7 linked regions of the Macaca mulatta genome follow. The protein of the gene in region 1 binds, or shares a complex with, the protein of each later gene. Links are inferred from orthologs where the notes say so. Each region holds a gene or a part of one and is shown on either strand. Other genes may lie near its edges.

Region 1 (4,264 bases):
AACTTCTACCTGGAACTTGGTGACAGTGACTGATTTGTCTCTAACCATAAAGCCCATCAAAAACCAAGATTGTCTACTTAGTAGTAAAAAATAATAACGACGATGATAGGAGGATTCTGCTGAACTCATGTTTTCAATGGACCAAAAAAATCTTCCCCTAGGTATGGAGAAGTAACTCAAGTGGAAAGAAGGGATGCTTGAAATTATTGCAAACTCTTTATTCATTACATAGATTAGCCACTGGTGGGTACCATGCATCCAGGATTTATGAAGATTTCAAATACGCCGTCCTTTTGCCCCCATAACCACACTCAAACTCGTGAGACCATGTGCCTCTATTTTTAATTACGAAAATAAGGACGCTGTATCTCCACCGGTGGTTAGAACTGCGAAACATCCCAACCACAACGTCCAGAAGGGCGACTGATCGCAGAGCTTCAAGTGATCTTAACTACGTTATGTGTTCCTGACACACTACAGCTGTGTTCCGAGGGTCTGGGACGCAGGGCAGAACCATTACTGTATTAAGCTTTCCCGCTCATGGGACGCGGTGCTCAGTCCCCGGGGACCGACAGGGGCTCCACCAACAACTCTGCGCCTCCCTCTCGCGGCCCGGACGGCAGCAGCGCAGGTAACTGGAAATGACTGGCAAGAAAAGCACCTTTTAAAATAACAAAAACAAACCACTTATCAGGAACTTTTCCAGCCTGGAATGAGGAATATTTATAAAAACAGTGGTAGAATATTAGGACATTTCTAGGCCCAGTTTCACCAAGTGAAAAGACCTGGGATAAGACGAGCCCAGGGCTGCACTGGACTTGCGGGATGCAGAGACTAACCAGAAGGGCCCTGCCGTCGAGGGACCCTAATCTCTGTACGCTTCGGGGGCGCCCGGGTGGCAGCCGGTGTCCCGCCGCGTCCCTGAGAGGCTTCGGCCTTGTCCGACCCCAGGCTGAAGATCAGGTGGCCCGGGGCCAGCACGTTACCTGCAGCAGGTGCAGCTGGGCCACGAGACCCCGCGGCAGGTGGAGGAAGCAGTCGCGAGCGTTGGTGAAGGCCACAGTCACTGCCGCCCCGCCTCCCCCAGCACCCGCCAGGCGATCGCTGCCCCACATCGTCCCGAAGCGTCGCTCTGGGTTTGCCCACCCTAGCGCCGCAAAGGACACGGGACCTGGCAGGCCGAGGACGTCGGAACCGGAGGAGATCGATCGGCCCCGCCCCCTGAGGCCCCGCCCCCTCTCCCCGCTGCGCGTCTCGCCGTAAGCCTGTAGTGGGGTGGGACAAGAAAGCTTCTGTCACCCACCGCGCCTCTCCGCCAAGCCGCTCGGGGGCGGCACCTCGTTCATCAAATCCTCGCACGCAGGAAACGATGGCCGACGCTGTCGATTCTTCAGCCAATCCTGACACTCCTTAACTCATCCCGCTCTCTTATTGGATAAAAGGGAGGTCAGCAGGGCGGATGTTGTCCTCCCTGCGAGGATCAAAGTAGGCAAGATGGCGTCCAGCGGTGGGGAGTTAGGGAGTTTATTTGACCACCACGTCCAGAGGGCGGTGTGCGACACGCGGGCCAAATATCGGGAGGGACGACGGCCTCGTGCTGTCAAGGTAAAGTGATTTTTGGTTTCATTCGCTCTCCTCGGTAGCTTTTTGTGAGCGCTAGCGCCATATGGCTAACCTACGGAAATAAAGGCACGACAAGGCTTCCGTCAGATCTGTCGCTCATTAGAGCTGGCGTGAAGAACCCTGGGCCAGGTACCAAAGATTCTCACGACCCTTTTGGTCAACTATTAGAACATCAACTCCACGAGAATAGGGCTTGGTTTTAGTCATTGGATCTTCAGTGTTTACAGTACTACTTGGCACAGGTAAGCGCTCAGTGAATATTCGTTGAGTGATTGTTCCCAGTGACTTCTGCCGACTCAATTTCTGGAAAAAAATGTCGACTGAAGGTAGTCTGTTATATGCCTTAGGTAGCCTCTCACATGGACTGTTACTCTTTATGCAGAGGGAATGGCAGAAATTTTATTTTGTGTTTTTTGCTGACTGGGTTGAACAGATTATTTCTTGTTTTCAAAGTTCTGTTTAAAAAAAAAAATAGAGGCAGATTCGTCCTAGGCTTATTTGCGAAATACGTTTAATAACTATGCATTTCTTTCAGGTATATACAATCAATTTGGAATCTCAGTACTTATTAATACAAGGAGTTCCTGCTGTGGGAGTCATGAAGGAATTAGTTGAGCGATTCGCTTTATATGGTGCAATTGAACAGTACAATGCGCTAGATGAATACCCAGCAGAAGACTTTACTGAAGTTTATCTTATTAAATTTATGAACTTACAAAGTGCAAGGTAAGGTGCAAGTTAAGCAATGACTCGTTTCATTTCCTCCATTCATATTTCTGTCATTTTGGCCCCAAGTTTCCCTCATTCATATCTGAATTACCCCAAAATGTAATCTAGCATATCTTCCTACAGCCTTTTTACAGGTTAACTTTACTGAAACACTGTATCCATCACATCCCATGCTTAACAATTTAATGTCCTGTAGCGTGGTAGAGTAAAAGTTGGGTTTGGCCAGGCACGGTGGCTTACGCCTGCAATCACAGCACTCTGGGAGGCCGAGGCAGGCGGATCACGAGGTGAGGAGTTTGAGACCAGCCTGGCCAACATGGTGAAACCCCGTCTCTACTAAAAATACAAAATTAGCCGGGTCTAGTGGCGCATACCTGTAATCCCAGCTACTCAGGAGGCTGAGGCAGGAGAATTGCTTGAACCCAGGAGGCAGAGGTTGCAGTGAGCCGAGATTGCGCCATTGCACTCCAGCCAGGGCAACAAGAGGGGATCTCCGCCTCAAAGAAAAAAAAAATGGGTTTGAGGGCTGGGCGCCAATAACTCACGCCTCACGCCTGTAATCAGAGTACTTTGGGAGACCGAGGCAGGCAGATCACTTGAGGTCAGGGGTTCAAGACCAGCCTGGCCAACATGATGGAAACCCCGGCTCTACTAAAAATACAAAAATTAGCTGGGTGTGGTGGTGCAGACCCGTAGTCCCAGCTACTCAGGTGGCTGAGGCATGGGAATCGCTTGAACCCGGGAGGTGGAGATTGCAGTGAGCAGAAATCACACCACTGCACTCCAGCCTGGATGACAGAGCGAGGCTCTGTCTCAAAAAAAAAAAAAAAAAACAGAAAAAATTTGGGTTTGGCGCCAGGCATGTGGCTCACACCTGTAATCCCAGCAGTTTGGGAGGTGGAGGTAGGCGGATCACCTGAGGTCAGGAGTTCAAGACCAGTCTGGCCAACATGGTGAAACCCTGACTCTACTAAATACAAAAATTAGCTGTGTTGGTGCAAGCCTTTAATCCCAGCTCCTGGGGAGGCTGAGGCACAAGGATCACTTGAACCCAGAAAGTAGAGGTTGCAGTGAGCCAAGATCATGCCATTGCACTCCAGCCTGGAAAGAGTGAGACTGTCCCAGAAAAAAAGAAAAGAAAAGAAAAAAAAGTTGAATTTGATCCCAGCACTATGGAAGGCCAAGGTGGGCAGACAGCTTGAGCCCAGGAGTTCGAGACCCGACTGGCCAACATGGCAAAACCTCACCTCTGCTAAAAATACAAAAATCAAGGTGGGCGTGGTAGTGCATTCCTGTAGTCCCAGCTACTTGGGAGGCTGAGGTGGGAGAATCAGTTGAGCCCAGGAGGTGGAGGTTGCAGTGAGTCATTTATGGACCACTGCACTCCATCTTGGGTGATGGAGTGAGACTATGTCTCAAAAGAAAAAAAAATGTTGGGTTTGGAGTAAGTTTTCCATTTCCACTGCTTACTAGCTTTGTGATCTTGGACAAGTTATTTAACCTGTTTAAGTTTTTCCTGTTCCGTAAAATCTATATGGTAAAGGGACCTATCTACTTCTTGAGGTTGTATGAGGATGAAATGAGATAATCCATATAAAGGGTTTAGCAGAGTGCCTCCTGGTCAGAATACAGTAAGCATTAGCTATTGTGGTTTCTACTGTTACTCCTTTCTGCAAATTGACTCAGTGTTTTCCGGCCTTCTATGTGACATAAACCCTCTGCTCCAAAAAGGCTGAAGTATGCAATGCCTTATCTATTTTTATGTTGATCTCTGTTCTCCTCACTAATCTGCTCTGAGACCCATCCTTCTCTGGCTGTTACAATTCATATTTTCTTTCATGTGCTATCAGTAGAAATCATAATCTACCACAAAAGCACTTGATTTTACTGGGTCATGTGTGGTTTTCTCAGG
Region 2 (3,500 bases), on another chromosome or scaffold:
AGCTTCTAAGTTATAGGGGTCATAAAAATGAACTAGTTTCATTGCATACAAATTATGATGAGAATTTAGTGCTTCAAGTTGGTAATTCAGCAGACTTCTTTTTAATGATATTTTTTAAAGAAAAGATGTTTTTAAAATACTATTTTCAGTCAATAGAAGAGTAAGATTCTTACTTATAAAACTTTAGTTTGTATTGAACCTTTCAGGGATACGTCTTTTGCTAACCATATTATATCATTGCTAGGTTTTATGTAAATTTGTTAACTCGTCATTTAGGAATACTGTTTATTTCCCCCCTCATGATTATATTGTACATTCTTTCCAGAGCATGAAGGGCAAAAGCAAAAGTAGTCATGACTTGCTTAAGGATGATCCACATCTCAGTTCTGTTCCAGTTGTAGAAAGGTTAGTCCATTGTTGGTGTGATCCTAAGTTCTTAATTTTCTGGGTCAGATAATTTTCTTGCTTCCTCTGTGAGTAAACAGTCAGTACTCATAAATCAAAAATTTCAAAACCAACCAAAAAAATAACGCATTTTGATAACAGAGATAGAGAACTTCAAGCTTGATAGAGAGAAACACTCTAGTCACTTTTGCACTTGCTCTCTACCTCTGTTGAGTAAGTTACATTTAAGATTGTTTTACCATTACGTGTTAGGACTGGAAACTGTTTGCTTTAACAGTTTAATGTTTAATTCAAGGTTGTTTTGCTGTTTTTCTTGAAGCATGTTTGCCTTAATTGTATCATGAATGAACAAATTCAAGTTGAAGGTTTTTGTGAAGAAATTACCAGTGTGGGGGCCAGTCCGCTGACTGTAAATTCTCACATACTTTGAGGAGTTAACAGAAAGTTGTCTTGCTACCTTTGTTCTTCTCTTTGAGAAGGGAAGATGTCTTGGTGTTAGATGTGATTGCACAAGATAAACTGGGCCATTATCTCAAGGGGCACTACAATGCTGTTGTACTCAGTTTAGCTCATTTTTGAAACTCCTGTTTTAGGACAATCTTTTCTTAATATCCTTTTATTTGAAGGATTTGGGGTTTTTTAGCGAGAATACTTCAAGCCAATAGAAGAAATTGTTCTTTGCAGACCATTGTTCATAAAAATAGCACTGTTGGTTGTTGTTTGCTTTTTTTCTTTCAAATTCTAGTGAACGCATATATTTGCTAATGAATCATACTTGTTCCACTTATAAAGAGTGTTTCCATCTGTTCTATAATGCCCTTCTTAAATTCCTATGTTGAAATACATTTTTGGAATGTTATTCCCAGCAAACTATTCTAGATTTTTGGTTTACAAAATAATTGTATTAGTTTTACCTTGAAACTAAAATTTGTTTTGCTTATTTTTTTATAGTGAAAAAGGTGATGCAGCGGGAGATTTAGATGATGTAAGTATTTATTTTGGTATAAATATAGTTTGAACAATTCATAGAAAGTACAAAATTTTTACAAAGACTTAATTTTGTTCTTAAAAAGTAATGTGCATTACTTTTTATAGTATAGTATAATGTATAACTTTTATAGTTATATATGTCAAATTTTGGAAAAATATGAAAAATAGAAATTATCCATTTAGGTATTAGAATATTTCCTTACTCTAGGGGTGTGCGTGAGTGTGTTTATATATCTCTCTACAACATTAGAATCTTATATATGAATTTCTAGTCTGTTTTTTTCTCCCCTTCACATAACATTACATTAATACTCAAACTTGAGATGTTATAATTTTATTGTGTTAAAAGTTTAAGTGTTGGTGTGTGGGCATCCTACATGATACATGGGAAATGCTTTGATCAGTCATTTATAGTAGTGTCCCCTTTTTATATACACATTTCAAAAGATTCTCATTCAAGACTGTAGTGATCTTTGTTAGTTGTGTTGGGTAATAAAGCTAACAAAACAGAAGGAAGATTTTCCTTTAATACATAAGAGTCAAGTTTTGCAAATTATACATATGCCACTTTGTATATAAAAATCCATTAATCTGTGCATTATATAATTTACTAGGAAGTACATAACTTTCCATGCATGAACACAGATTTATCTATTATCACAGTCAAAAGAGAAGGCTCTCTCTGGCTATCAGTAGGAGATAGAGAGAGGATGAATATCTGACCTTGTCAAGAAAACCTTCCTGGAAGAGATGATGGTGTTTATGTCTTACATGAGAGTTAGGAGTTAGATAAGTCAGAAAAGAAAGTGGTGAAGGGTAGGGTCCCTCTAGCTCAGAGAACAGCATATACTAAAGCATGGAAATAAGGAGAGATTATACCTTATTTAGGAAATACAAACAGAGATTTAAAGTTTCAAGGAGTCTGTCTTGTGAAGAGCAAGGAAGAAGATTATTGAAGGTAAGGGGAACTGCATATACAAAATAGTCCGAAGCAGGAGAGTTTGGTGTGTTCTAAGAGCTGCAAGCAGGCCAACGTGAACAGGATGTGGTGACAGGCCAGAGCTTCATTACAGAGCTTCATAGGCCGTGGTGAGGAGTTTGAATTTTTTCTCAAAAGGAAGTGAGGAACAGTTGAAGGGTGTTTGTTAAAAAGAAGGATGCTGTGATCAATTTTGCATTTCAGGAAGATCACCGTTGGTGATATTATAGAGGACAAATTAGAGGAAACAGACTGATGTCAAGGACAGCCACTGGGAAGCTATTGCAGGAGGAGAGCTTGATATAAGACCACAGCTGTGAGATGGGAAAGAGGTAGATTTGAAAGAGGTCTAGGAGGTGACTGATTCCATACTATGAGGTGAGGGAGGAGTAGTCCAAGACAACCACAAGGTCTCTGGTTTGGGCAACTTGTTAGATGGGTACAAAAGAAAGCATAGGGTTGAGATGGAGAGAAGGATGAAAAGTAATGAGCTTAATTTTATACATTTCAAGATTGAAGTAATTTGGAGACATCTGTGTAACATAATATGGGTCTAGAAGATAGGATCAATGTATAGGATAGAATGTAAAAGTATAAATTTGCTCTTAATATCATGGGTGGGTGACTAAAACTGTAGATCCTTTCCCAGGAAAATATCCTACATTCACAACCAAAATTATATGAATTTGCCGGGAATTTTTTTCAGATCTCCTGAGGCCTGAGCATGGAAGGCCTAGGTTGGTGGTTGTCAACTTTTAGTGCTTAAACATCTTGTTGAAAACATTCATAATTTCTGCCCCCAGAGATTTTGGTTCAATAAGTCTGCAATGAGGACTAGAATTTCAGGTGTTAATAAACAACTATGTAATACCATCTAAAGACCAGACTTTGAGGACCACTGCTTTAGGGGTCCACAAGTCTCAAATTAAGAATCCTGCTTTCACTACGACTCACCAGATCAAAGAAAGAATCACGAAATAAAAATGATCTACTTGGGGTTATTTCTTCCTTCTTCTCTCCCCTCTTTCTTCCCTTCATTCCTCCCTCTGTTAATGCTGGGTACCATTCTAGGAGTTGAAGATACAACAGTAAGCAAAACAGGCCAGAATTTTAGCCCTCATGGAGT
Region 3 (3,500 bases), on another chromosome or scaffold:
GATTTGACCTCTTCACTCTAGAATGTGGGACTGTTTTAAAGCATGAATTCTGTTATATATGAAATTCTGAACGTTACCAGAGGACTTACGGGTAATAGTCAAAATATTTTTTATTAGGGACAAGCATAGACTATTTTAAAGTATCAGTTAGTTGATTGTAACCTTCTGTAGTGGATTTCTTATTCCTCAAGGATTCCAGGATGTAATTTCTCTTAAATATGAACGAAATGAATAACCAGTTTAGTACAAGACTTAAAATAGACCAAGGGTGCTGTCATTTTTAGTCATTTGCCCTTTGACTTGACCCTTTTTGCCTTCTTCCAGACTTTTGAAGATAACATAAGAAAAAACAGGACTGTAATTAGTAACTGGATAAAATACGCACAATGGGAAGAAAGCCTAAAGGAGATTCAGAGGTAAAATTGCTGAAAGTGTAGTTTTGTGTATAATGATTCATAGGTTAACAGATACCAAAAAGAAAAGAAGAAAAAGTTAAAGCACAGATAAAAGATTGTGCCTCGGGTAGAAATTGTCAACTATGGTTCCATGAAACCCTAGGGTTCCCTTGAGGGCCTCAGGAGCACTGGGGTAGAATAGTCCCGGAGGGCGGGGCGGGAGACACTTTACAGATTGATCTTGTCAGCTGTAGCTAAAGTAGCACAATTTCATCTGCTTTCTATATATTGAGATTTTTTTTTTTTTTAATGTTTAGCTGAAAACCAATGGCCAAAAAAATAAAAATTGCAATCTGGCCCTTCCTGTTGTCTCGCTTTCTGCATTCTCCCCTCATACCTCCTTCCCCCGCTGCGCCTGTGTACGTGCCACTCCCTGAATATATCATGTCTCCTTATTGTGAGGCTTGGCTGTTCTCCTCGCCTGGAATGAGCACCCCCTCCACACCAACCTTAGTTTCCTGGTAAATTGGAACTTGCCTCGAGTTCTTGTTTCTAGAGTTACCTACTACTTAGCCTTTTCCACCAGACATTTTCATTTCTTCCTCTCTGCTTCCTGTGCAGATCTTGACTATAACATAAATCACATTGCATTATAATTGCATGCATGTCTTTCTATAAGACTTTGTAAGGTACTTGAGAGCATTATATCTTTTCATCATCTTATGCCCAGAACCTGGCTCGTGGTAGACACCTAATAAAACATCAGGGCATTCCAGATAGTGTGAAATAACCGCTGCATGTGTTGTGTGCACTACTTTTGATGCCCTGCAAATCTTGCTTCTTAAGGGCTCGATCCATATACGAGCGTGCTTTAGATGTAGACTATCGAAATATTACACTCTGGCTGAAATATGCAGAAATGGAGATGAAGAATCGCCAAGTCAACCATGCTCGAAATATCTGGGACCGGGCCATAACAACGCTGCCTCGAGTCAATCAGTTCTGGTAAGTTTCTGATAAAACAGCCTTTTGTAGCCTAGAAAAGTTCCACATTTTCTGTATTTATTTTATTTACATGATGATAGTTTAATTTTACATCCTACTTTTTCTTTAAACATAAATGCTTTTTAATGTCCCATAGTCTGTTAAGTCATAATTGTGATGTTCTACAGCTATGTAATCAAAACTAAAATTTTGGTTGCAATCTTTTGTTCATAAGCTTCTTGTTGAACTAGGCAACTTTTAATAAAAAATCTTTTTTTCCAATGGTTCACCCTTTTTCAGATTTATATTTCAATAACAAAACATGTTCGATTTAACCTTTAAGAAAGATAAAATCTTAAATCTTCCTCCCATTCAACAATGGGAGAACTAAACCACAGCAGATATTTTCGGGTGATTTTGTTAAAGGTACAAGTACACATACATGGAGGAAATGTTGGGAAACATTGCCGGTGCCCGGCAGGTGTTTGAGCGCTGGATGGAGTGGCAGCCTGAGGAGCAAGCCTGGCACTCCTACATCAACTTTGAACTGAGATACAAAGAGGTGGATCGGGCCCGCACCATTTATGAGCGATATATCCTTTGGACGAGAACTGAGTGGTGCCATGATTGTCCTGGGTGCTGCTGCTCCTGTAGAGGTGTCTCATGGTCAGGACACACAGTCATTGACATCAGACTAGAAGTCAAGAATGCCAGTTTATCAGCTTCCCTATGTTTTGTAGGGAAAGAGATTGGTCAGAATGAAAATTTGTGATCTGGGTAATTAGTCTTTTCTAGTGAGAGTTTGGGTTTATTTTATTGTAGTGCTGAAAACTAATGTTTCCTCATGGAAAATGATATTCCTGGGAGATTGTTTCCAGGACATCAAGGAGATGCCAAAATCGGTGATGCTTAAGTCCCTGATATAAAATGATGTAGTATTTGCATGTAACGTATGCATAGCCCCCCATATAATTGAAATAATCTCTAGATTACTTATACCTAATGTAATGTGAATGTTATGTAAATAATTGTTATTCTGTGTATTTTAAGGTATAATAACCAAAAAAACTACATGTTCAGTATAGAAGCACTTTTTTCTCATGAATACTTTATCTCGGGTTGGTTGAATCTACAGATATGGAACCCATGGCTGGAGGACTAACTGTACTAAGGTTCTGGCTGCCCTTGCCAGTCCTGTTTTTCTAAGGTTGGTGTTGGTCATTACTACCGTTACTGGAGTTCATCAAAGGTTTACTGTTTATTGGCTGTGTGGCTCCAGTGAGTCATTTAACTCCTTTGAGTCTTCGTGTCCTCTTCTTAAAAACAAGAATAAAAACACCTTTGTTGGGCTGTTGTGAAGATTAAATGATACACATGAAAGCACTTTTGAAACTGAAGTACAGTCATTCCTCATTATTCACAGATTCCATATTTGCAAAATCACATATTTGCTAAAATTTATTTGTAACCCCAAAAATCAGTAATTGTGGCACTTTCACAGTCATTTGTGGACATGCACACAGCATGAAGTCCAGCAAGGCGAGGCTCTGCCTTCTGGTCTTAACCTCGTATAACCATGCCCAGAGCTTGGAGACAGGAAGGGCCAGTGCCATGTAGTGCAAGGAGCTCCGGCCCTGGGGCCAGTTGGGGAGTTTGAATCTGTCAGTGGGGCAGCCTCAGTCCAATCGCTTAACATTTCTGAATCACTTTTCTTACAAAATAATGAAGATAGAATCTGCTAGGATGAGTTCTTTTTAGGATTTAAGATGATCATGAATGTGAGATTGTATATATACATGTTTCCCCTAGGCACAGTGGTTCAATACTCAATAATTAAGTGTTTGCAGTGACTACATAGAACATAACTACCACAAATAATGAGAATCAACTTTACAATGCAGTATTAAGATCTTTTTATTTTTTTACTCTTCTCTCTTTAGGTGACAGTGTTAAGATCTTAATTATGTCTAGTAATTTTAATATTATTAGTTTGACAAAAGCTTTTATAGTACTTGCTATGTGCCAGGCATTATTCTAAGTACTTTACAAATATTGTGGTTTAATCCTCATAACAACCTTGCAGTGTAGGAACTTCTCCATCCTACAGATGAGGGAGCTGAG
Region 4 (4,109 bases), on another chromosome or scaffold:
AAATCCTATGAGGGTTTTTTTTTTTTTTTTTTTTTTTAAAGTAGAGACGGTTTCACCATGTTACCCTGGCTGGTCTCGAACTCCTGGGCTCAAGGGATCCACCGGCTTCGTCCTTCAAAAGTGTTGGGACTACGGGCGTGAGCCATCGCGCCCAGCCGGTCATTTTTTAAAAAGTTCTTTGCATCTCTGCCCCCAGCTCCCTTTCAGGCAGTGGTCCCGTCATGCTTTCCACACTGTTGCAGCAGTTTTAACTGTTGCAGAAATTTTAACAAGTTTCTCTGCTTCTAAACCTTACGTTAGATCCATTTTGTAAATAAATGCTGCTACCTTTTCATTGTGTCATTCTTTACCTATAATTTTGCAGTGGTTCCCCACTATCTTCAGCATAAAATCTAGGCTCCTAAGGCTGAAAGCCAGGGATCCTCACCAAAGGAGCCTGTCTTTTCAACCTCATGTTCTCCTGTCTTAGGTGCACTTAGGTTCCAACTTTGAGTCGTCGCTCATGTCAATAAAAAGTTCACTACTTGATGCTTTTAATTAGGTCAAGTCAGGTGCTTTCCCTTATTTTCCTCCATGACGGGCATTTCCTGCATATAGCACGTTGTCACTTTGATATTTTCTCAATATCCTTGATGGTAAAGTAAGGGAAGGGTTAAAGAGCTGCATTAAAAGTACAGTCTCCTCTCCTAGATATGCATGGTCCTTAGGTCTGTATCTGCTCCTTCCGTAGGGTAGCCACCAGCTACATGTAGCTGTTGAGCACTTGGAATATGGCCACTGGGATTGAGGGACTGGGTTTTTTATTTTAATTCTATTGTGTTTTAGTTAAGTTTAATTTAAATAGCTACATGTGGACATGAGCTACTGTATTGGACAGCTCAGGCCTGTGTTATGATTGTCAAAATGTAATAATCTACAATTAAGGGTTGACAAATAACAGTGCAACAGATTAACATTCCAATCCCCCTCCCCTACACACACAGTATTCGCTAATGGTCCTTTAGCTGAAGATTAAGGGACATAGGGTAGCAGGGACACATGGTCGATGGGAGATGCTCTCTTTTCATTCCTGTTTTTACTTCTGTCCACCCCACCATTCCTCCTCACCCGACATCTTGCACATATTTGCCAGATAGTTTCCTCCAAGCCAGGAGCTGAGCTTTCTTTTTTCTTTTTCTTTGATAGAAAATGCAGCTTTGGCGTTTTTGCTAAGTTTTATGGAGTGCCAGGCCTTGAAGGAGGCATGACGTGTGCCGCATGCCTTCTCAGACTCTGAAAGATGAACTGACTGTTGTCTCTTTCACTGTAGAGCTCTCTTCCTGCCAAGATGTCTATTGGTGTGCCAATTAAAGTGCTGCACGAGGCCGAGGGCCACATTGTGACATGTGAGACGAACACCGGTGAGGTATATCGGGGGAAGCTCATTGAAGCAGAGGACAACATGAACTGCCAGGTATTCTGCTTTGCATGTGAGGCTGTGTGGGAGGAATGGCCCTGTGTCTTGAAGGACAGAAAGGTGTGGGTTGGGGGTCTTCTGTAAATTGTTCTCATTCAGCAGTGATTTCCTGAGTGCCTAACACATACCAGTCAGGTGCTGTTATAGGCTCTGGGGATGTGGGCATGAACAAAACACATAGTCTTGAGGCAGAAAAGCCATTTGGAGATTTGGAATATTTTACTTCGCCTTTTTTGTTTTTTCCATCCCCAAATTTGGGGACCTGTTTGGGAGAAGTTCCTTCAGTAGAATCCTTCAGGTTCAGAGCCATTATCCATTTGCCTCCACTTGCTTTGCAGTTAGGAGAATCTTCTCACATACTGTGTTTGTTTCCCTTTTCTCTTGGAGGAGGAGTCTCATTTGATTATTGCAACTACCTTGTGAGGTAAGCAGGTTTGGTGGTAGTCTTGTCATCCATAAAATAGGGAGAATGAGATTAAAGGACTCATCACTCTGATAGTAAATAATGGAGTAGTTTCTTGATACGGTGTCCTTCTCATGGCGCAGCTTTGCCTTTTGCATAGTCATCTGAATTTTTATAGCATTGTTTTTCAGTTGTATCTTCACACTTTCTTTGTTCTTTAAACCATTGGTTAAGAACTTGGACTTGGGAGTCAGAGAGAGATGTGGGTTTGATTCCTAATTATATGACCTTAGATGTATTAATCACTCAGTTTTCTCATCTGTAAAACGGGAGTGTTATTATTTTGGGTTCTTTGATGTAGATGCCAAGACAGAATTATGCAAGGTATTTATTGGGGGAAATGACAATAAAGGATAAAGGAACAAGGAAACAGTAGTAGGCAGGGAAATTTTCAGTCCGTGATGCTGGTCTGACTGGTGAAACGAGAGGGGAAAGAAGGAGGATTGAGCAGGAAGAACCTTAGACTACAGTGTAGTTTTGAGGAAGTCTCAGCAAGGCAGTGATTGCTCATTAGAAGAATCTAACATGGGGCAGAAATGGGCAGACTGGCACCCCTGGTGTGTTCATTCCATTGGCTGGCAGCCTGGGGAGACAGTCTCTCTCCCCAAGTTGAATGCCATGGTGGACTGCAAAGATGGAGATTGTCGGCTGCCTTCACTCCTCATAGCCTGTTTTCTTTTGGAGGGAGATCTGAGCAGCACACCCTTAAGACTGCCACAGGGATAATATCCACACCCCCAGGACTTTTACAAAGATCAGATGAGCTATATGTGTGCAATAGCTGCTCGGTGCCTCACATACTGTAAGTGTTCAACGTATGGTGTTTACTGCTTTTTTCCAGATGAGAAGGTCAGAGAGGTAAAGCGTCTTACACCACGGTCAGGTATCCTGACCATCTATTGGTTTGCGCCATTCATTTATTTGTGATTTTTCTGTAGCTTTGAGCGTCTATCATCTTCCTGCGAGGTTGACAAGCTTGGTCAGTTCCCTGGATGCAGAGAAGTAGACCTCTGGTGACTCAGGTTTATTGCATCATTGTCAATAGATCAGTTTATCTATTGACAGTAGATAGGTTTATCATCTCTCTTTCATATATCCAGACCTCTGGCTTAAGGCATGCTCATCCACTTTAAGGTACTTTAATTTGGTGAGGAGAATGCAGGACTTGGGTTAGTGAATCTTAATGGGTTTGTCATCTAGCTATATGTATTTGGACAACCTGCTGGGTTTCCAGGGCCTTTGTCATCCCATCCATAACATGAAGGTGTCTAACCAGATAACCTCGGTGGCCATTCAGAGATGCAGTCCACGTGACACAAAGTGCACAGAACTTGGAGTCAGACAGACCTGGAATCAGCTTGCAGCCTGCCACCTAGGGTGACTTGGGGTGAGCTTTGGACCTCCTTCGTCCTCTGGTCCCTCTTCTAAGTCAGGGATAAAAATAGCTCCTTGGCTTCAGAAGGAACCATAGTGCAGAAGAAATGAGTAGATGCATGTCACATGCCTGACCAATGGTGGGGGGGCAGCCACCTGCCTCCCTGCTTGTATTTGTATGCTAGTGCTGCCAATAACAAAGTTTCACAGATTGGGCAGCTTAGACAACACAAATTTGTTTTCTCCTAGATCTGAAGGCTGGAAGTCTGAGATCAAGGTGTTGGCAAGGCTGATTTCTTCTGAGGGATGTGAAGGAAGGATCTGTTCCAGGCCTCTCTCCTTACTTATAGATGACTCTCTTCTCCCTGTGTCTTCACTTGGTCTTCACTCTGTAGTGTTTCTGTCTAGATCTCTTCTTATAAGGATACCAGGCATGTAGAAATAGGGCCCACTCTAATGACTTTTCTTAACATAAAGTTTTTTTTTTAATAAAGTTTTTTTTTTTTTTTTTTGAGATGGAGCCTTGCTCTGTCGCCCAGGCTGGAGTGCAGTGGCGCGATCTTGGCTCACTGCAACCTCCGCCTTCCAGGTTCAAGCGATTCTCCTGCCTCAGCCTCCCAAGTAGCTGAGACTACAGGCACCTGCCACCATGTCAGCTAATTTTTGTATTTTTAGTAGAGACGGGTTTCACCATATTGGCCAGGCTGGTCTCGAACTCCTGACCTTGTGGTCCACTTGTCTCAGCCTCCCAAAGTGCTGGGACTACAGATGTGAGCCACCATGCCCGGCTTGCCTTTTTTTTTTTTTTTTTTTTTT
Region 5 (4,297 bases), on another chromosome or scaffold:
ACCGTGCTGTCTTCTGGGTGGTCTCAGGTACAAGCCACTGTAGGTCATTCAACAATGTTCAATCATGGGGAAGGAGAGTTAACTTCTTTTCTTTTTCTTCTTCTTTTTCTTGAGACAGAGGCTCACTTTATCACCCAAGCTGGAGTGCAGTGGAGTGATCTCGGCTCACCGCAACCTCCGCCTCCAGGTTCAAGTGATTCTCCTGCCTCAGCCACCCGAGTAGCTGGGGCTACAAATGCACAGCACCACACCCTGCTACATATTTTTGTATTTTTAGTAGAGACAGGGTTTCACCATGTTGGCCAGGCTGGTCTCGAACTGCTGATCTCAAGTGATCCGCCTGCCGTGGCCTCCCAAAGTGCTGGGAATGCAGGCATGAGCCATCGCGCCCCAACAGAAGAATTAACTTCTAAAAATTCAACAGCTGGGAAAGCTAATAGAGCTAAGAAAGCTCGCTTAGAAAAACCAGGTAGTCTAGGAAGTGTCAGAACTCCAAAAAGTGATTGGAGGTAATCTATCCAAAGCAGGGAAGGATGTGGTGGCATAATAATAAATACTGGCTGGCCATGGATCAAGTACTTTGGAGCAAGGAGGGAAACAAACCTGATTCTGAGGACAGGGGGAGGATGAACCATAGCATGCCCCTAAAAGATGGGCTAGAGCAGAAGTTTTCAAACTAACTGGCATGAGAATCACTCGAATGCTTTGGCGCAAAAAAAAAAAAAAAAAAAAAAAAAAAAAAAAAAAACTGTTGGGCCTGCATTTCTACGTTTCTGATTCAACAGAACTGGGTGAAGCCCAGTAATTTACATTGCTAATAAGCTTCAAAGAGATGTTGCTGATTCAGGAGACCACATTTTTGGAACCACTAGACCAGGGTATTAGATCAAAGTTCTTGGCCTTTAACTTATAACCAAGACGGTCTCAGAGCCCCAGTCAATTGAGTTGGGTAAGACTCCATAAAAGTGGCATGGACACTTAAAACTAGAAGGGCACTGGCCGAGCGCAGCGGCTCACCCTGTAATCCCAGCACTTTGGGAGGCTGAGGTGGGTGGATCACGAGGTCAGGAGATAGACACCATCCTGGCTAACATGGTGAAACCCCGTCTCTACTAAAAATAAAAAAAATTAGCAGGGCGTAGTGGCTGGCGCCTGTAGTCCCAGCTACTCGGGAGCCTGAGGCAGGAGAATGGTGTGAACTCGAAAGGCGGAGCTTGCAGCGAGCCAAGATCCGCCACTGCACTCCAGCCTGGGCGACAGAGTGAGACTCCGTCTCAAAAAAAAAAAAAAAAACCTGGAAGGACACTTAAAGGTGGAAAGGCAACACTCAGACCCAGAGGGCAAGAACTGAGGCACAGACAGAACTCATCAACTGTATCATAGTAGCAATTTACAATAATACAAAGCTAACACTGTATATCAGGCACTGTGCTCAGTGCCTCATCTGCATTATTTTCTTTATACTCAAAAAAAGACAACACAGTGAGGCAGGTATTGTATTATTACCTACATGTTTTCAGATGATGAAGCTGACTATATATAATAGAGACTTTAACTTGCTCCAAGTGACAGACCTAATAATAGCTAAATAAAACTGAAATCTTTGGTCTACTAGTCCATCACCCAGGACCAACAAAAGTAGCTTTCCTCAACCTACTGATAAGGCCTGTAACAAGGCTTCTCCTCTCCTGGTCAAAACCACACTTTTAATGTCAATTTTAAATCTGCCCTTGCATAGTAGGATAATCTGTGTTAACTCCTGAATTCACAAGCAATCCTACAAGAAGATAAGTCTAAATACGGATAAGAGGTAGGATAACTGATCTGCTGAGGACCCAATTTGTTTATCTGCTATTTCGAGTCTCTGCACATCCAAAAATGCAAAGGAAACTCTTACCTAATTCTTGCATCTAGAATAGCCTTTCTCCAAATCCTGCCTTCTCCAATTACCTCAAAAGAATTGTTAGGATTAAGTGGAAATAGGTATGGTAGTTTTTGCAGTTAAACTCAGTGAAATTAACGATTATATTTCCGTTCTATAATGCTGTGTTACAGGACCCAAAGCTCCTTAGAGAGGTGGAGTCTGGACACCCAAGTTTAGCAGTTATTACCTCATTGGAGATAGTTCAAGTTATGTAAGGATCAAGAATGACAGGTGAAGAGGACACAAGAGAAGCGAAGCGTCTTCAAAACTAAACTCCAGAAACTATCAGTATTTACAGGGCAAATAAATGAAAAAGAAACCGCTAATGAAACGTAAAACAAATAGCCAAAGGGATATAACGCCGGAAAGAGGCATAAGAGTGCAAGTACTTCAACTAACTTTTAATCAACTAGAGCTCATTAATCCCACTCCCCAGGCACTGGGAAAGGGGCTTTGGCAAGCCCAATGGACTCCAGAGGCTCTAAGTATAAAACACACTGCACACGAAACAACAGAGCACCAGCGTTGGTGCAGGACTTCAGACAGCTGCAGGAACCTCACAAGGAAGGTCAGCCGGTCCGCTCAGGCAGTCAGTCAGTTCACCGCAGCCCATTCGCTCCCCACCCGCTTGGACTCCTCGGACCCAGCCACTCTCACACCCCTCTCGCGGGCCCGAGCGTGGCGGGAAGACCCACGCACACTCCAATGCCGCTCACAGCCGTATCAGTGAGCCCGCACCCACTCCTCAGGGTCTTTCACTTCCCACCCAACCCGGCAACCCGCCACCCCCGCTCCGCTTCGGTGCCTACGGGGACTCCGCGGAGTTCGATAATTACCTAAAGCTGCACCGCGCCGCCATTACACCGGATGTACGTCACTTCCTCTTCCCGAGCACCGACAGTAGGAACAAGGCAGATACTGAAATACATAAAAACTTGACGCTCAATTGGCTTGACGCGTTATCCTTTTAATTTATTTCAGATACCATATCATAATGCCAGAGTCAAAGCAGTCGATCCAGGCACACTGTATTCTTATCAAAATGGCGACTAAAAAGAAGTTGGCATGAACTACAAAGTCCGAAATCCAGCACCTGTGCTGACGGAAATGACGAAAGCATAATTGTAGTTTAGCGGTGAAATGGCGCGGTGTACGATGGGAATTGTAGTTCATACAGATGCGCGCCAGCGAGTTAACATCCACGCTGCTGACTGGCAGCCTAGCAGTGTTTAGGGTCTAGGCAAATTTACTTTAATCTAAAAGTATTTCACTGCATTTTGGGAATTTTTTTTTTTTTTTAGTAGTCAGTTGTCACTTTCCTTGAAAATCTTAAGTGAGAGATTTTCTTGAGACTTTTTTTTATAAGAGTTTGACCAAGAGTCAAGTGCCTAATAAATTCCAAGACATCCAAGCCAAGAGAATGGGAGAATATTAGATCATAAATAGAGTGAAATAATGAGGAAAAAATAATTCTGTAGAGACTATGTTGCCTGTCTTTTAAGTTAAGGTACCAACTGGTATGACCTGAGAATAAGGAGATTGCCTGGCTGAGTAGGAAGTAGCAGTTTGTACAGCATACAGAACTAGGGCATCAAACAAATTGTTTCTTTAAACTTCACTTTTCACTAGTAACAAAACGTAAAAGTTCAACTACTTACTATTTTGGAAACTCTCTTTCTAAAACAAGAATATCTTTATGTTATCAAATCTTTCATAAACCAGGCCTGATTTCTCCACACACTTCTCTATTACAGTTTTAGGGTGCTGTGCTTCCACTCCTTTCTGGAGGCAAAGTGTGAGAATTAAGAATAAAAACACTGCAGTTGGACTACTTACGTTTGAATCTTGAGTCCTTTGATTATTTATGGATGATTGGGGCAAGTAACTTCACATTCTGTGGCCGTTTCCTGATCTGTTAAATGGAAATACTAGTAGTACCCATTCATGCAGTAGTTGTAAGAATTGAATTAGTTGATTCACAAGATACGTTTAAGATAATTGCTAGTATACAATAGTGTTATCTATTTTATTTCATATTTAAGATATTTGGCCATTGTTGATGGTGCACTTTGGTGTACCAATACAGGGCACAGGAGATGGATCTGGAGATGAACATTTGTATTTATATATTTAAAAACCCACAATACTATCTGTGATGGTTAATTCTGAATATCAACTTGATTGGATTGAAGGATGCAAAGTATTGATCCTGGGTGTGTCTGTGAGGGTGTTGCCAAACTGTTGACAACTGTTTGTTGTCAAACAGTTGAGTCAGTGGACTGGGGAAGACAGACCCACCCTCAATCTGGTGGGAACAATCTAATCAGGTACCAGCGAATATAAAGCGGGCAGAAAAACGTGAAAAGGCGAAAC
Region 6 (4,146 bases), on another chromosome or scaffold:
AAATTACCTGAGAGTTAATTGTACTGTTAAACAAGGACTTTATTAATTTAAAGTAACAGTCAATATGTTACACTATGGAGAATATTCCAGAAAATAGAAATATCTCAGAAAAAAAATACTATACATACACACACACACACACACACATACACGTGGGCGCGCGCGCGGGAGGGGCGCCCGCTAGTGCGAAAAGCAGAAGGGCGAACCTGGGCCTTATCCTAATAGCTCTCATTTAATTCACCCAGTGCTTTTCAAAGGCAGATATTTTACTGATAAGGAAACAAGGCAAACAGGTGAGGTGGTCCAAGGTCCCACGCGCTACAGCTCTCTCTCTAAGGAAATACACTAGGCATGAAGAAGCAAACGGATGGCAAGAAGGGACAAAGGTAAACTTTCCCATAGATTCTCTTAAGCTGATTGAGGGAGGGCAAGGGGATCAGGAATCCATTCTCTCAACAGATAGCCCTTCAGCCATTTTTCTGAGCCACCCTCGGAATCGCAGCTGCCATCAGATGTGGATGTAATACAGTGAGCAGTTACCAAACTCAACCGTTTGCTGAGTGAATGAAGGAACCAAAGTAGGCAAAGTGGGAAACCAACTCTCCTGGGAAACCAGCACCGTGTTAGGCCCTGGCGTGCCCCCAGGGCGCCTGCAGGGGTGCCACGGGCATGACGCGGCCCACCTCCCCAGGCACCGCAGCGGAGAGAAGGCTCTTCAGAGCGGCCCCCAGAGGAGCCTTCACGGGCATCGCCGCACCTCCACCGGCAGCTCCACCCCAACCCTGGTCGCTGGGAATTCTGCCCGACCCTAGGCCGGCGCGAGCGTGGGCAGCGAGGAACCAGCTGAGAAGCAGGATCAAAGAGCTCGGGAGTTGGAGACAAAGAAAAACTGGGGGACAGAGGCAAAAACTCGGATCCGAAAGGGGGTCTGTCCATCAGGGCACGCCGGAAGAGTGGCGCTCGAGCTGACGGCGAGAGCGGGCGGGCCGGGGCGCCGAGGCTCAGGGCTGCTTCGGCAATTCGCGGGGGTGGCTTGCACCCCGGGAGGCGAGAGCGCCTGGGAAGTCCAGCGGGGCTTACCTAACTTTCCCGCCCGCGGAAGGGAAGCGGGGAACTACTGCCTCCCACCATCAGGTACGACAGGAGGCCCAGGCCCACGCGCAGACGCAGGGTTGTGGGGCGGACACCCACGGCCGAACAGCCAGTCGCAGAAAGGGAGGGGCGGGCAAATGGGGCAGCCCCACCTAGCCGCTCGCGTTCATTCCTCCCGCGGCTTTCCAGGTTTGGGGTAGGCGGGAGCGGTGGGCTTAGAAGCCGGAAGTGGATTGACGTAGCCCGGAAGGGGAATACTTCCCAGTTACAGTGTTGATGTTTTCAGGCTCCTGCTGCTCCTGTTGCGGCTAGGGGAACTGTCGTGGGGAAGGATGGTGTGCGAAAAATGTGAGTTAAGGGGCTGCTTCTGCGGGAGGAGGAGGCTGGGATAATCTAACTGAGCCCTCCCGGGAACTTTGCCTTCTCTTTGTTTTTTTCGCCCACAGGTCTCTGATTCTAGCCGCTGTCTTTCTACCCTACCCTTTGACCATTTTTGCACCTCCCCAACGACCATACAGTCCTATGTATTTTGTACTCAGAATGGTCTCAGTTCTGCACCTCCCTCTCTATTTCCATTGCCTTCCCCCAGCCCCAGATCTCATCGGCTCCCCTCCCATATAAAAATGTTCAGTTAAACCCCAGCGACACCTTTCCCTCTTGGCAATTCCTGTCCTTTCCTTTTTATTCGTGTAACAAGTATTGTACTCCTGCCAAATGTTAAACACTGGAACCAAAGACTTAGGACTTTGCCTTATTCATTCTCATTAGTCATTATGCCAGGATATGGCGTAGAGTAAACCCAGAGATGTTTGAATTGAACATCAACGTAAGTGCAAATTATTATTTCCCTAATTTAAATCCTTTAATAAACTCTCAGTGTGCAGAGAATAATTTGGGGATTCTATATTTGGAACCTGACGTTCAGTACCCTCCACACTAAGGCGCCAACTTATTTTTCCAGCTTCATTTTCACTGACCCTCATCCTCTTCACACTTTGACCAAACAAAATACTCTTTGTGCCCATGTGTACTCTAAGCTTTCTATGCCTTTCCTCAGAATGTGTCCTTTATCTAGTTTGCGTTCATCCTCTTTACTCCTTTTTGTTCACAGTCCTGTTGCCACATATTCAAATCCTCTCTCTTGCCTTCTCTCCAAACTTTGTTTTCTTGGATTTCCTTAGCCAGGGTTATTTTTTCCTGCCTGGAATTTCTCCCAGTACTTTAGTTCTCAATTATTATATCTTTTATTTTTTAGCTTACATTTTGTTTGAATGGTTCTTTTTGGGGGGACGGTCTCTGATCCCTCTGAGAATCTGATGAAAACTGTAGCCTCTTGCCAGGAAAAAAAACTGAAAATATAAAAGGTTTGTGTACAACTCCACCTTGTTCACATATCTCTTAAGATCCACCTGGGGAACCCAGGTTACAGATTGCTGTTAAAGAAATTAGTATACTATAATCTCATTAAAATTTTGTCTGATTCATCACTTTTTCTCAGCACTTTGTATAGTTTATACATCATAGATGCTTAGTAAATATTTATGGAACAAATAGACTTATTGGATTTTTTAAAAGTATAAACAAACAGTGAAAGCTTATTATAAGCCATCTTATTATCCTGCGAATTTTACCGACGGTCAGTCATTCATTGCCCACAGTTAATATGAGTCTCAGTTGACTGGCTGCTTTCTCAGCATTAACAGGCTCCTATGGTAATAGCATTGATAGTCGATACCATTGTGAGCCTTAGGCACAATGTAATGCACTTATGAAATAGTAAATTTTAATTTTCCTTTTACTATCTTGTTCTAACAGGTGAAAAGAAACTTGGTACTGTTATCACTCCAGATACATGGAAAGATGGTGCTAGGAATACCACAGGTATTTCTTCTTTTAGAAAATAGGAATTTAACCAAATACTTACTGTGAATTATATTTTAGCTTTTACATTATTTGTACAATGAAATGTTGTATGTTCAAAGTATTTTATCTATTAAATGTTAAAGAATACTGGGTCCCCAAGTGATTTAATATCTTTTATTTAGTTCTCAGTTACTTGTATGGGTTCCCAATATCAGGAGATAGCAAAATTATTAAATGATTGTCAAGTGGTGACAATATCACAGTATTTGATTATCACAGTATTTGATTTGATTCAGCTTATTTAGAGTCTGTTTTTAATTTCCCCACTCTTCTGAGGAGAAATTTTTTTAAATCTTCTGATTTTTATATTCTTGAATAAATAAATGCTTTAACCCATTTTACCTTCATTATCATTAAATCTTTATAATGAAGTATTTACCTTCATTATTATTAAATACATATAGTAAAGTATGTTTTCAAAGCGTAGACAAATAAACATTTTCATTATATTGAAGGTCTATGACACTGAAGTAGTGGCTTCTAGATTTTACACTATATAGAGTAAATATAGACCCATTCCTAAAGTACTCCCTTGAGTCTGAGAAATAAAATGATTGTATTTTATACAAATTTTTACTGTTTCCCTAATAAATGTTTTCTTTTTAAGCAGTGTCTTAATAGCCTACTAAATGAGGATTTAAAAATTAGATACAGACTACTATTTTGGTAGAAAGTCAAAGAATGAACTTCTTAATGTTTTATGTTAAATGTATAGAAATAACCCACTAAAATATCTTTTATTCTGATACAGAAAGTGGTGGGAGAAAGCTGAATGAAAATAAAGCTTTGACTTCAAAAAAAGCAAGGTGGGTAAGAGCATCCATAGACAGATCATATAAATTTCCTTTCTTTTAGTATTAAGTCTGCTGGAGTGAATTTGATGTGCATCATTCCATTTGCAATAAAACATAAAGGTAGGTGGTTCATAGCACTCAGAACCAAGCTATCTGTTACAATCCTGCTGGTTTTACCTTATTCCTCCTTGGCTGTATCAATATATGAAGATATTAGTGTTATTCTCTTACAGTTTCACCAGAAAACATGACTTGTATTTTATCTCCTTCTTAATTATCCTATGAATCAGAGACAGCAGGGAAATGTGGAAAGATGGTAAGCTTTGGAGTCAAACCT
Region 7 (3,500 bases), on another chromosome or scaffold:
TTTCTTTTATAGTTTTTGAATCCTATGGTAATTAATGAGAATATAAAGCTAGAGTTTGAGGTTTAATTATTGCTGGTCATCAGACACAAATGCAACTAACTGTGTACCCGTGGAGCCTACTGCCACATCATCTCATTAATGTTGGATGCTCCCTTTTCCATTGCATAGGCTGCACACATGTATTCTGGGGCTAAAACTGGGTTGGTGTTAACTGACATACAGCGAGAACAGCAGGAGCTCAAGAAACAGGATCAAGAAACCATGGCATTTGAAGGTAAAAATATGAAAGTGCAGAGACCAATCCAGGCTCATTTTTTTTTTTTAAATTTAGCTTATTGTACCTGGTATTTTAAACTTTTAATTGCTATCAAATTTCAGCTCTGGTTTTATGCATGGTTGTAATTTCTCAGTGAGTCCCAGTGTTTCTTTCCTTCTTGAAAAATGCCATTTCGCCCAGGCGTGGTGACTCATTGTAATTCCAGCAATTTGGTAGTCCGAGGCGGGTGGATCAGCTGAGGTCTGTAGTTCGAGACCAGCCTGGCTAACATGATGAAACCCCGTCTCTACTAAAAATAGAAAAAAACTAGCCAGACGTGGTGTTGCATGCCTGTAATCCCAGCTACTCAGGAAGCTGAGACAGGAGAATCGCTTGAACCCGGGAGATGGAGGTTGCGGTGAGCCAAGATCGCGCCACTGCACTCCAGCCTTGGCAACAGAGCGAGACTCCATATCAAAAAAAAAAAAAAAGAAAAATGCCATTTCTCGGGCCCAGTGCCAATATGCACCTAGATGTTGGTAGGAACTACTTTGGTCTGGCTGCAGAAGTTCTTATCCAGCATTAGAATCCCAAGTGGTTGATTTGATCTCTTAGAATGTTATTTCTGATTTTGATCCTGATATTTGAGTATAATTTTCCTTTGCAGCTGAATTTCAATATGCTGAAACCGTATTTCGAGATAAGTCTGGTCGTAAGAGGAATTTGAAACTGGAACGTTTAGAGCAAAGGAGGAAAGCAGAAAAGGACTCAGAGAGAGATGAGCTGTATGCCCAGTGGGGAAAAGGGTAAGGGAACCACTGAAAGGGTAAACAAGATGGCAGTGACTGGAACAAGTCATTTCTCTGCTCTTCTTGATCACTCACTTTCTTATTATGCCTTCAGAGCTGTTATCAGTAATGGGAAATTTGGTGTGCTGAATCTTCTTCCTAGGATATTGATATATTCCACACTTCCAGTGGATATTCTGGGAATTTTACCCTGCTCAGTATTTGCCCTAGGGTACTACTAGAAAGAGGAGAGTCTCCAAATTTAGCAGTATGGTCCATCTTGTGTAGAAGTGGAAATGTCATACAGGATAGCAAACACTCTTGGTTCTTTTTTGCCCAGGCTTGCCCAGAGCCGGCAACAGCAACAAAATGTGGAGGATGCAGTGAAAGAGATGCAAAAGCCTCTGGCCCGCTATATTGATGACGAAGATCTGGATAGGATGCTAAGAGAACAAGAAAGAGAGGGGGACCCCATGGCCGACTTCATCAAGAAGAATAAGGCCAAGGAGAACAAGAATAAAAAAGGTGGGACTTCTGGGAATCATCAGAGCTGGAGGTGACTTGTGAAGAGAGAGAATCATTAGGATTCTGATACATAGCTGTATGCAAGGAAGGATTTCCCAAATAATTTAAATTCATTGTATTTGTGAGTTTAGATTCAACTCAACTGGTCTTTCTATGTGAAAATTTTTCCGGGCCAGGCACGGTGGCTCATGCTTGTAATCCCAGCACTTTGGGAGGCTGAGGTGGGTGAATCACCTGAGGTCAGGAGTTGGAGACCAGCCTGGCCATTGTGAAACCCCATCTCTACTAAAAATACAAAAAAAAATTAGCTGGACGTGGTGGTGCACGCTTGTAATCCCAGCTACTTAGGAGGCTAAGGTACGAGAATCGCTTGAACCCAGGAGGCAGAGGTTGCAGTAAGCCGAGATTGTGCCACTGTACTCCAGCCTGGGCAACAGAGTGAGACTCTATTAAAAAAATAATAATAATAATAAAAAATTCCCACATTGCCATCCAGCTCTGAATTAAATTATGTCGTTAACTAAATACTTTTTTCTTACTCCTCTCTTTAGTGAGACCTCGCTACAGTGGTCCAGCACCTCCTCCCAACAGATTTAATATCTGGCCCGGATATCGCTGGGATGGAGTGGACAGGTAAGCCTGGGTATTTCTTAGGTTTTTATTTTCTCTTCTACCTGACTGTAACCTTCCCTAACCACTCGTAAGTTGCTCCACACTTTATTTCATTCTCTGCTTTAATCACAAGGTGAAAAATATGCACTTTGCTTGCTTCTATTTCTGAGGTCCACAAATCCTATTTTTCATGCTTGGAACACTCCTCTTTCTGTTTCCTTTTCATAACACTTTTTAAAGCTCTGTACAAACAACTCAGGTGGTTCAGATAAGACACCCTTTGTTTTGGACATTGGTTACTTTTAATGATATTTTCTAAGGTTTAGAGGGGTCGAGTGATGAGTCGTAGTCTGGAGCCTTCTATGTGATATGTCTTTAAAATGTAGCCTCTGAATCTTTCTTCACTTTACGGTCTTAGGAGGCAGTCACTTTTAATGTCTCACGGTCCTCTACCACCTCATCTGTCTACCTACCAGCATCTGTACCCACATGCTCTAACTTCCTGTCTGTTATGATGGATGAACTATATTTGCTTCCATCCAGAGTCAGTTCGTGTACTTACGTATTAGATTCTATCTCCTCTTGCCTACTAAAGGACATTGTTTTAGTATCTAGCACAATAATTCTCAAACTTTTTAATTTCAGGATCCTTTTACACTCTTTTTTTTTTTTTTTTGAGATGGAGTCTCGCCCTGTTGCCTGGGCTGGAATGCAGTGGCGCAATCTCAGCTCACTGCAACCTCTGCCTCCCGGGTTCGAGCGATTCTCCTGCCCCAGCCTCCCGAGTAGTTGGGATTACAGGCGCGTGCTGCCATGCCCAGCTATTTTTTATATCTTTAGTAGAGACAGGTTTTCACTATGTTGCCAGGCTGGTCTCGAACTCCTGACCTTAGGTGATACGTCCACCTTGGCCTCCCAGAGTACTGGGATTCCAGGTTTACAGGATTACAGGATTACAGGTGAGCCACCATGCACAACCACTCTTGTTTTTTGTTGTTGTTGAGGCAGAGTCTTGCTCTGTTGCCCAGGCTGGAGTGCAGTGGTGCGATCTCCACTTCCCGGGTTCAAGCAATTCTCATGCTTCTGCGGCCTGAGTAGTTGGGATTACAGGTGTGCATCACCATACCCAGCTAATTTTTGTATTTTTAGTAGAGACGGGGTTTTTGCCACGTTGGCCAGGCTGGTCTTCAATTCCTGGGCTCATATGATCGTCTGCCTCAACTTCCCAAAGTGCTGGGATTACAGGCTTGAGCCACCATGCCTGGCCTACACTCTTAAAAATTACTGATGACCTCAGAAAGCTTTTGTTGATGTGGATT

The links.
Region 2: RBM48 (region 1) and CWC27 share a complex: the UniProt entries of both Homo sapiens proteins name them as parts of the minor spliceosome. The link is inferred for Macaca mulatta from reciprocal best matches to the Homo sapiens genes RBM48 and CWC27.
Region 3: RBM48 (region 1) and CRNKL1 share a complex: the UniProt entries of both Homo sapiens proteins name them as parts of the minor spliceosome. The link is inferred for Macaca mulatta from reciprocal best matches to the Homo sapiens genes RBM48 and CRNKL1.
Region 4: RBM48 (region 1) and SNRPD3 share a complex: the UniProt entries of both Homo sapiens proteins name them as parts of the minor spliceosome. The link is inferred for Macaca mulatta from reciprocal best matches to the Homo sapiens genes RBM48 and SNRPD3.
Region 5: RBM48 (region 1) and CWC22 share a complex: the UniProt entries of both Homo sapiens proteins name them as parts of the minor spliceosome. The link is inferred for Macaca mulatta from reciprocal best matches to the Homo sapiens genes RBM48 and CWC22.
Region 6: RBM48 (region 1) and CRIPT share a complex: the UniProt entries of both Homo sapiens proteins name them as parts of the minor spliceosome. The link is inferred for Macaca mulatta from reciprocal best matches to the Homo sapiens genes RBM48 and CRIPT.
Region 7: RBM48 (region 1) and BUD13 share a complex: the UniProt entries of both Homo sapiens proteins name them as parts of the minor spliceosome. The link is inferred for Macaca mulatta from reciprocal best matches to the Homo sapiens genes RBM48 and BUD13.

Annotation. Positions count from the first base shown.
Region 1 is NC_133408.1:126,862,844-126,867,107, reverse strand, and holds the start of RBM48 (RNA-binding protein 48), read left to right. Parts: upstream 1-1,464; 5' UTR 1,465-1,494; coding exon 1,495-1,605; intron 1,606-2,158; coding exon 2,159-2,349; intron 2,350-4,264. Other genes in the region: peroxisomal ATPase PEX1, read right to left, coding at 987-1,115. UniProt on the Homo sapiens protein: As a component of the minor spliceosome, involved in the splicing of U12-type introns in pre-mRNAs.
Region 2 is NC_133411.1:72,852,601-72,856,100, forward strand, and holds part of CWC27 (spliceosome-associated protein CWC27 homolog), read left to right. Parts: intron 1-325; coding exon 326-405; intron 406-1,356; coding exon 1,357-1,390; intron 1,391-3,500. UniProt on the Homo sapiens protein: As part of the spliceosome, plays a role in pre-mRNA splicing. Probable inactive PPIase with no peptidyl-prolyl cis-trans isomerase activity. As a component of the minor spliceosome, involved in the splicing of U12-type introns in pre-mRNAs.
Region 3 is NC_133415.1:63,975,942-63,979,441, forward strand, and holds part of CRNKL1 (crooked neck-like protein 1), read left to right. Parts: intron 1-324; coding exon 325-416; intron 417-1,241; coding exon 1,242-1,400; intron 1,401-1,805; coding exon 1,806-1,972; intron 1,973-3,500. UniProt on the Homo sapiens protein: Involved in pre-mRNA splicing process. As a component of the minor spliceosome, involved in the splicing of U12-type introns in pre-mRNAs.
Region 4 is NC_133415.1:28,770,555-28,774,663, reverse strand, and holds the start of SNRPD3 (small nuclear ribonucleoprotein Sm D3), read left to right. Parts: upstream 1-1,309; 5' UTR 1,310-1,327; coding exon 1,328-1,453; intron 1,454-4,109. UniProt on the Homo sapiens protein: Plays a role in pre-mRNA splicing as a core component of the spliceosomal U1, U2, U4 and U5 small nuclear ribonucleoproteins (snRNPs), the building blocks of the spliceosome.
Region 5 is NC_133417.1:84,939,753-84,944,049, forward strand, and holds the start of CWC22 (pre-mRNA-splicing factor CWC22 homolog), read right to left. Parts: upstream 2,801-4,297; 5' UTR 2,761-2,800; intron 1-2,760. UniProt on the Homo sapiens protein: Required for pre-mRNA splicing as component of the spliceosome. As a component of the minor spliceosome, involved in the splicing of U12-type introns in pre-mRNAs. Promotes exon-junction complex (EJC) assembly.
Region 6 is NC_133418.1:78,216,525-78,220,670, reverse strand, and holds the start of CRIPT (cysteine-rich PDZ-binding protein), read left to right. Parts: upstream 1-1,346; 5' UTR 1,347-1,424; coding exon 1,425-1,440; intron 1,441-2,907; coding exon 2,908-2,973; intron 2,974-3,766; coding exon 3,767-3,821; intron 3,822-4,146. UniProt on the Homo sapiens protein: As a component of the minor spliceosome, involved in the splicing of U12-type introns in pre-mRNAs. Involved in the cytoskeletal anchoring of DLG4 in excitatory synapses.
Region 7 is NC_133419.1:117,431,531-117,435,030, reverse strand, and holds part of BUD13 (BUD13 homolog), read left to right. Parts: intron 1-168; coding exon 169-274; intron 275-923; coding exon 924-1,062; intron 1,063-1,384; coding exon 1,385-1,569; intron 1,570-2,120; coding exon 2,121-2,202; intron 2,203-3,500. UniProt on the Homo sapiens protein: Involved in pre-mRNA splicing as component of the activated spliceosome. As a component of the minor spliceosome, involved in the splicing of U12-type introns in pre-mRNAs.